Nothobranchius furzeri: one gene and its partner. The protein of the gene in region 2 purifies or fractionates together with the protein of the main gene of each other region. This does not show direct contact. Links are inferred from orthologs where the notes say so. Each region holds a gene or a part of one and is shown on either strand. Other genes may lie near its edges.

The links.
Region 1: the proteins of sentrin-specific protease 7 (region 2) and cbx5 purify together in Homo sapiens (affinity purification with mass spectrometry; 3 studies listed by BioGRID and IntAct, with this or other methods). This does not show direct contact. The link is inferred for Nothobranchius furzeri from reciprocal best matches to the Homo sapiens genes SENP7 and CBX5.

The regions. Positions count from the first base shown.
Region 1 is NC_091755.1:25,771,883-25,776,423, forward strand, and holds the start of cbx5 (chromobox protein homolog 5), read left to right. Parts: upstream 1-1,739; 5' UTR 1,740-1,877; intron 1,878-2,347; 5' UTR 2,348-2,399; coding exon 2,400-2,527; intron 2,528-2,743; coding exon 2,744-2,984; intron 2,985-3,992; coding exon 3,993-4,093; intron 4,094-4,541. Other genes in the region: heterogeneous nuclear ribonucleoprotein A1, read right to left, coding at 1-104, 188-304, 780-791. UniProt on the Homo sapiens protein: Component of heterochromatin that recognizes and binds histone H3 tails methylated at 'Lys-9' (H3K9me), leading to epigenetic repression. In contrast, it is excluded from chromatin when 'Tyr-41' of histone H3 is phosphorylated (H3Y41ph).
Region 2 is NC_091754.1:27,608,957-27,612,778, forward strand, and holds part of sentrin-specific protease 7, read right to left. Parts: intron 3,215-3,822; coding exon 3,149-3,214; intron 3,068-3,148; coding exon 2,952-3,067; intron 2,219-2,951; coding exon 1,970-2,218; intron 1,855-1,969; coding exon 1,730-1,854; intron 1-1,729. UniProt on the Homo sapiens protein: Protease that acts as a positive regulator of the cGAS-STING pathway by catalyzing desumoylation of CGAS. Desumoylation of CGAS promotes DNA-binding activity of CGAS, subsequent oligomerization and activation.

The DNA of each region.
Region 1 (4,541 bases), on a different chromosome or scaffold from region 2:
ACCTTGTGTGGACGAGCGGACATGGAGGCATCGACCTCCTGCACTGACGAGTAGGTGACGAAGCCAAACCCCCTGGATCTCTTGCTGTTTGGGTCTCTCATAACCTAAAGGCAGAAACGCATCACAGCTTTAAGCAACCAACCAAACGTTACATTACATTTAAAAAGAGACATAAAGGTATGCGTACCACGCAATCTGTAAGGCTGCCCCATTGTTCAAAATGAGCCCGTAGGCTCTCGTCTGTTGTCTCGAAGCTCAGGCCTCCGATGAACAGCTTGCGGAGCTGCTCCGGCTCACGTGGAACCTGCACAAAAATATTTGCGTCATAGGAGAAGCAATGCACAATATAGTTCCGCATAATAATATTGTCGGTGGACCATTTATATCAAACTCTGCGTCTTTGATCAAAAATCAGGGATAGGGTGGAGAAGGCGCACCGCCGCCATTACAGTTTAGGAACCGCTCAGACTAAAGTCAAAGAACTCCTTCTTTCAAAGAGCCAACACACAATTAATATGTACTCACTGTCGTTTAATGTGTTAGGGATATAATCGTTTAAGACTGGTGTTGAAGAGAAGCCACTGATGTCCTTTACAGATCATCATCAGAACAAAAGGCCACGAGGCTCAGCTTCTATAAAATGGCGGCTTCAAGAAAGCTCTGCAGCTACGGCACACAGTCCGTCGACAACACCAAGTATGGCCAACCTATAATAAAACTACCCAAAACCAAACTATTAATCTTACGGCCTGATATCCTTTGATAAGTTTAGCACTCACCTCTTTAGACATTTTGCCGCTTTATCCTTGACGACTCCTTGAGAACCGACCGCAGAGGAACTAGCTGCGTCAGACAAGACCAGCGACAGGGTGAACGTACAAGAAATAGGAACGGAAACGCCTCTTCCCCTCAGCGATTGGTCTGTAGTTCCCGCGGTACTGTGTCGTCAATCAGAACTGTATTTTGATTGGTCTAAATTTTGTCAATCAATGCGAACAACCATTCACTGCGTAGTAGGCATTCGCCTTTGTCGACCATGAAGAAAAATGGCCGACCTAAATTACATAAAGCCAAAAATGAATGTGCCTTCATCTATAAACAAATTATCTGAATTGACAGAGAAATTGAATGCTCACATTTAAAAGGTGCTGAAAAAACGACTTATTAACTTTTTTCTACGAAACGAGCCTAAGAAAGACAATAAACAATATAAAAGATAGACAAATTGCCGTCTGGCTAAACAACACGGGAAATATCATTCGCATGTTGGTACACAAGATGTCCCGTAATCAAACAAACCGATGCAAAATGTACAACTCTTGAAGAGTTTATGCTAAAGTATAATTTAAAATGAGCCAAATTAGTTAATCTGGGCTTTGTGTGTGGTGACTAAAGGGGGAAAATAACATGAACATAGAGAAATAAATAAATGCAGCAAGATTTAAACGAAAAATATATGAAAACATAAATTACTACAACAAAGTAGACGTATATATATTAATTTCTTTATTTTCAGTCAAATAATTGTAACCCTTTATGCTGTGTTTTTTTTTATTTTGTATTATCGTGTATACTTATTTTGTAAATTATTGTGACTGCAAGTTACTACAATTTTATAAACCGAACGTTAACGTTATAGAAAAGTTAAAATTTAGTAGGAAGGAACGTGTTTTCTAAACATTTATTATGTCACCAGCAGACTGGGGGCGGGTATGTTCATTGTGCGTTTTTAACGCGCGCTTTTTGCGCACGGCACCTTTATGTGCTACAGGCTAGATGCTAACGCTGGTGCTGCATTAGCTGCACTGCTGCCTCTAGATAAACGGAGCAGTCCCTGCGACCAGCGGCCTACATCCAGTGGGTTATACACTCCGAGGGTAAGAAACTGCGTTTTTGTAAATGTGCTTTACGCTGTTGCAAGTATCGGGTAGTTGTTTGATAAGTAAATTAGCGAGTATAGCATAGCTTTAGCACGTAAGCTAGCTCCTTTGGCTAGTTTGGGGTTAGTTAGCAGGACAAATCCCTTGGTCTTCATTGAACTGTGTGCTTTGTTCGTTTTCTGTGAGTGCAGTCTGGTCGCATATAACTATTTCAAACGGGCATATGTCGAGAAATGCACATGTATGGCCATTATATTAGCAGTTTTCCCATGCTTATCGTTCTGCTAGTGGGAAGAACGAGATTAAATGAAGATATTCATTGATGCACGGTAACCACGTTGTGTGGCTAACGCTCATGGTTGCAAACCTGCAGCTTGAGCTTAAATTTATGTGTTTACATGTGGACGAGCGCTGAGAAAAAATGGCATGTTTTGTGAGATGCTTGTTTGTGATTTCGTCGTGAACAGGAAAGTGCCATCGAACTCTAAAAGAGTGTAGTGTGAAGCACCCAACTCCGAGATGGGCAAAAAGTCACGTGAAGAGGAGTCCTCATCTGATGAAGAAGAGTATGTTGTGGAGAAGGTGCTGGACAGGAGGGTGGTGAAAGGCAGGGTGGAGTTCTTCCTTAAGTGGAAAGGATACTCTGAGTAAGTACCAAGTACCTGTTTACTGGTCAGTGACTTGATATTCCCGTTTTACACACACACACACACACACACACACACACACACACACACACACACACACACACACACACACACACACAGCACAAAAAGCATCAGTGAAGCTGGTTTGAGCACACAATATTACCCTTTTAAAAATGAACGTGACATTTCAATGACTTGTGCTGTGATTTTCTGCAGCAAGCACAACACATGGGAGCCAGAGAAGAATCTAGACTGCCCTGAGCTTATTTCAGAGTTCATGAAGACCTATAAGAAAAGCAGCAGCAGCGGTGGTAGTTCGACACCTAGCAGCGGGGCCAGTAAATCAAGCACAGGCTCATCTGGACGCACTAAAGATCCCAGCAGCTTAAAAAAGAAGGGCTCTGATGAAGAGGAGGAAGAAGAGGAAGGAGGAAGTAAGCCAAAGAAGAAGAAAGAGGTAAATTATCTTCATTATAGGTGAATTTCATTGACTACGTTTACATGCAGCCAATATCCGGGTTATGATCGGGTTAAGGTCGGTATTCGGGTTTCTGAGTTGATCAGAATAACCCGTTTACAAGCCCGTTTACAATAAATAGAAAGAGTTACCCCTAACTTGCATAACCCGATTTAAATGCGGACGGTGGGGTAGCGTCAAGACATATGGACTACGTCCAGACGCAATATGCCTCATTTCCGGTTCTTCTTGTTCCGGTATCCGTGAAAACAACAACACGTTTCCCAGTTCGGAAGAGACGGCGACCGCGTTTGTTTGTGCTTTAGTTTCTTCGTCACTGCGAAAGTGTGGTGCTGTGCCGCGACTCGCCATGTTGCTCCCAACTTGTTGTTTACTTCCGGTGTTCTGGCGCATACAAGACGTCTCGCTACTCAAAAGACCAAGATTCCTTGCGAACAGAGCATGTGCAGAACACACGCTTTGATGGGGATATCCCGGTATGCGTTTACACGACCAAACATTCGGGTTAGAAAAGGGTTACGCCAGGTGTAGTAACCGGGTTTTTAAAAACCCGGTTATGAGCATATCCAGGTTTTTGGCGGTGTTTACAAGGACCTGCGGAACCGGGTTATTGTGAATATTCGGGTTTTAAAAGGGTTACTGGCTGCATGTAAACGCACTCATTCTGATATGAATCATTTGTATGCGTGGGAGCATTTGTACTTAGCTCTTCTGAACTGATTTCTGTAAAGACTGTTTATATTTTAGCTAAATGTTGTAAAATGTATAATTTTGAGATGAAAATGATAAATTGTTTTTTTGAATTACCAATAATGCATTAACTTATGGGCAGGTGATGGGCAACACCTATACTTATTAAATAATATAAGTTATATCTAGATTTGACCTGTGTTTAGAATTGCTGAATTTATGGCCAATGAAATAGCCCTTTGGCAAATATTCAGCTGGCATTTTTAATTTTTTATTTTTTATTTTTTTACATTTCAGGATGAGATCCTAGTTGCACGTGGCTTTGAGAGGGGCCTAGAGCCAGAGAAGATCATTGGGGCAACCGACTCGTGTGGAGACCTCATGTTTCTAATGAAGTGGTAAGTTTTACTGGTAGACTCATTTTGGGAGATCTTCATTCTGTTATAATGACAATGCACTTACTTTTATGCACTTTGGTAATCATAATGCACCCATTTCGTAGTAAAACAAAATTTTCCTCAGACATAAACATTAGAAGCTAACCTAGCACAGGGGGGACTAACAGGCCTTTGTAGAGCTTGGTGACCTGCTGAACAGGTAATTCAACCATTCAGGTGTATTGCAGCAGTGAGATGACTAAAACATGCTGGGTATGGGGATCTCAGACACACTTGATCTAAGAGGACTACTATTCATTCTCGTATGACAAAGAAATATGCTTAAGTATTATAAAGTACTTACATTTTCAACTATTAAATGTCTAAAACAGAACTGGTTAAACGGTGCAGAATTGTTGCACCAGAGCACAGCACGATGTCCTATCATGAGCTTAAATGTCTAACAACC
Region 2 (3,822 bases):
TTCAGCACAGCCAACAAAGGTTTATGATGGGTCAGTCCTCCTGCATGCTCAGATCATTCCCTTCCCTTGCTTGAAAAATTGTTCCAAAATGAAAGTTGAACCCACATCTTTTTAATCCGTGAATTCAATGCCGTTCGGCGCGTCTCAAATAAAAATTTGGGCGTCTAACTGTAAAAAAATTATCATTAATGTAAAAAAGAAACTCCAAATAAACTACTCACACCTGGAATCGAACCCAGGTCCCCTACATGAGAGTCAGACATCTTACTAAGTGAGCTAAAGCGCCAGTGACATTCTTCGTATCTGTAACTTTTATATCCTTGATGACACCTGAAACAACGTCAATCCGAAGAACAGTTCGGAGCGAAAATGGCTATTTTGTTGCTAATTTGCAGGAAAAATCTAGAAGAAAGTTCTACAGAAAGTAGCTAAGGGTCCTCAGAAATGTAGCTAGGTTCATCACTAGGCGTTAGGAACAGCGATAAAATTGCTGAGTTGGCACTACCTCTCTCTCTACTGCTAAAGCTACGGATAGCAAATGCTACGGGCTATGCCTGAGCGTGAACGCGCATGAAGCAGCCTGCTCGACCCGAGCAGCTCTCTTTTTCTGTGATTTTACAGAAAAATAGGCAATCACAGTAAAAACGCCAGGGCTCATTCTACAGGACCAGGGCATTGCAGGAGAATGTATGAAGAAGAAATTTATTATTTCTACACATGTTTTGGCTGTCAAACTTCCATATAGTCAGTTTAAGTTGAAGTGCTATCTGTTTTTATATTAGACTTTTTATATTTGCAATAAAGTCCTAAAGTGAAGAATTTATGTTATTTATTACTTGATTGTTCAAGCTACCTCACAGAAGTGATATGTTGTTAAAAATTTTAATAAAAAGGTAATTAAATAAAAAATAAGGAACATTCTGGAACTGTTTCTTCCTTTTCTTATTTTTTTATGTATCAAAAGTTTCGGATCAGGACTCGGTATCGGCCGATTCTCAAAATAAAATGACTCGGACTCGAGGGCAAAATACCTGATCGGGACATCCGTAGCTTAAACCATATACGCACACATCACCGGGGCTAATTTACCTGCAGCTTCCTGGTGGCTTATGTCCACATCATAACTGCAGATTGTGCAAAAGGCATGGTGAGGGAGCTTAGAGGGCCACTGTTCTTGATATTCAGGCAAAAACGTCTGACACATGGACCCTCTTCTTTTGGGCAGGTCTGCTAGCCAGTCGCCCTCCCTGTCTGCTTCTCCCTCAGCTGCAACAGCACAGGTTGCACAACGTGCAGCAAAAGATTTGTTGGCTCCCTGTTTAAACTGTATAAATAATCACATCCTCCTCATTGTTTACAGGCCAAATATATCTGCGATGGATGTATATAAAAGGCAAAAATACACAAACACACAGAAATACTTCCACTTAAGATTTCAGCTGGAATATTTTCAACGGTTCACATTCACCAAAGGATGGCCGGTCCAGTTAGCTGATCCTCCCCGCCACCACGCGTCCATTTGTGTCTGCTCTTCATTAAAATTACTTAATTAAGGAATAGCATAAGATTGCCAGGGCCGCACTTCAAATACATTTTCTACAGTTTTTTTTTATATAATTACTGATAATGATCAATATGCATTTTTTTCTACATCATCCTGAATGAAAGCCTTTTCTCTGAATGTTATAAATAACTTATTTTAAGTCACCATTAACAAAAGCTGACCCACCTAACACTTCAGCAATCGTTTCTTCTGCTTCTTCACCACCATCACCATCTACCATCCCCTCTTCAGCTTCTAGGCTTTCTGCTTTGTCCTCCTGAGACTTTTTTTGTCTTTTCTTGGCTCCTTTTCTAAAGACAAAAAAGAAAAATGGCTGATTCAACTGTAAATGTTTGGGAGCGATATGGATAAAACTTTCTATTAAAATCACGTTCCAAAACGTTGACATTGATAATAATTTCCTACCTTTGAGAAGAGGGGGTGGTGATCTTCAAGCTGCTCTCTAGAGGTAAACTCTTGCTTCTGGTATTATTTGCTGCTTCTTTCTGAACAGACCGAGTGTTCCTGCTGATCAGTGCTTCTTTGTTGCTTTCCTCACCGTTCTTCCTCTGTCGTCCTCTTTTTCTAGTTAAACTACTCATTCTTACCCTTCTTTTAAAATCCTTTCCCATTTTTGTTTTCAGGACATCCGTTAAGATGAGACATGGTTTCCTCCTAAACGAGAAAACAGAGAATTGTTCATTTTCAACAGCAACTCCGTGGTTCATCAAGGTTTCCTAACTTTGAGCTCCCTTTTCAAAGCAGATAAGACTTGCTGATCAACACGGAGGAGCAGAGTGCTCCAGATAAGCCACATGCACGGTCGTGATAAGCTCAACATTGGAGTAATGATGTGCAAACGTCACATTTGAACGTTTAATTCTACAAGTCATTTTAAATGTTTAAAAACAACATACACTAGTATATGTCATAAATCAGTGTGCCTTTGGTTTGGTCGTTCCATTTTTTCCCTCCGCCTCCCCCAGTTAGCGATTATGCACCTGTTTGCCTTTTGGCTGACTTGTCCCTGTTTGGTAAACCCTTACCCCAGTTCATGCACCACGTGTTAGATCCTCTTGTTAAATCTGGTATTTACCTGGTTGGTTCCTGAAGAGTCCTTGCCCTCAGTTTATTTTATTTAAGTATATTTCAGTTAACCTGCCTTTGTTCTGGATCACTCACCTGCACGATGGGTCCTTCATAAACCGAAAACCTGACCGTATACATCTTGTGATTATGCTTATTTTTAGGTCAGAATTACTTTAAGGCGTTATTGCACTTTATAATTACTTACTGATGACTTCATATTAATTGGGAGTTCCAGAATTGACAGATCTAGCAAAAACTATGACTACAAAAACTATCTAGTGAAAGTCTACATGCTGGCTCCGTTTCGCCACACACTTACCTAGTCATTTCTTGAGATATAAAATCTGCATGTCTGCGATCAACTATCACAGATCCATTTTTATGTTGTGAATTTTTAGATTTGTATTTGCAGCCTGCAAACGCAGTCCGTGGAACCTTTTAAAAATAGGAAACATGATTAGAATTAGAAATAAAATAAGTAATATAATTAATAAACCAGTAAAGGCTCAGCTGTACCTGTTGTTCTAACTTTTCACACTCTGGTGGAAGGCATGCCATGGGGATTTTGAGAGGATTTTTAATCTAAAAGACATGCTGCATGTTATTCAACTTGTAAACGTTTTATAACCTCAGCTTCATTGGAGATGACAAACTAATTGGCCTGAATGATAAAGCTGATGATGTTGGGCACGATAGGTCACGCATGAGTACACTTGGCTGACTACCAAGAGCGACAAATAATCTGCAGCGGCTTCTACAACAGTGTGGATTAGAAATTTAAACTCTGATTTCAGATTTTCTGCAATGACAATTTGCTGCATTGCCGTTTGAAGTAAAACTAATTTCTGGGTTCGGTCTGTAGGTAGGACAAAACATTTCCTTTACAAGATCAACGAGTCTAAAGATTAACGGATGACAAAAGTAGGAATGCCCTGTTCCGATACTGATACCAGAAATAGGTTCGATATCAGCCCCAAACCGCTGTATCAGATTATATCAGACTGCATCAAAAATCTCCAACATAAGCAGTCCGTTCTGCTTTGAATTTAATTCCAGCAGTTCTGTCCAGCAGTGGCCAGACCCAGCAGGCAAAGCCCACGTGATCAGAACCGTGCATGCTAGCAAAGAACATGAGCGACGTCGGTCGCGTGGCAGGATTTTTTTGTTAAAGTCTGAAAAAGACACTGTGG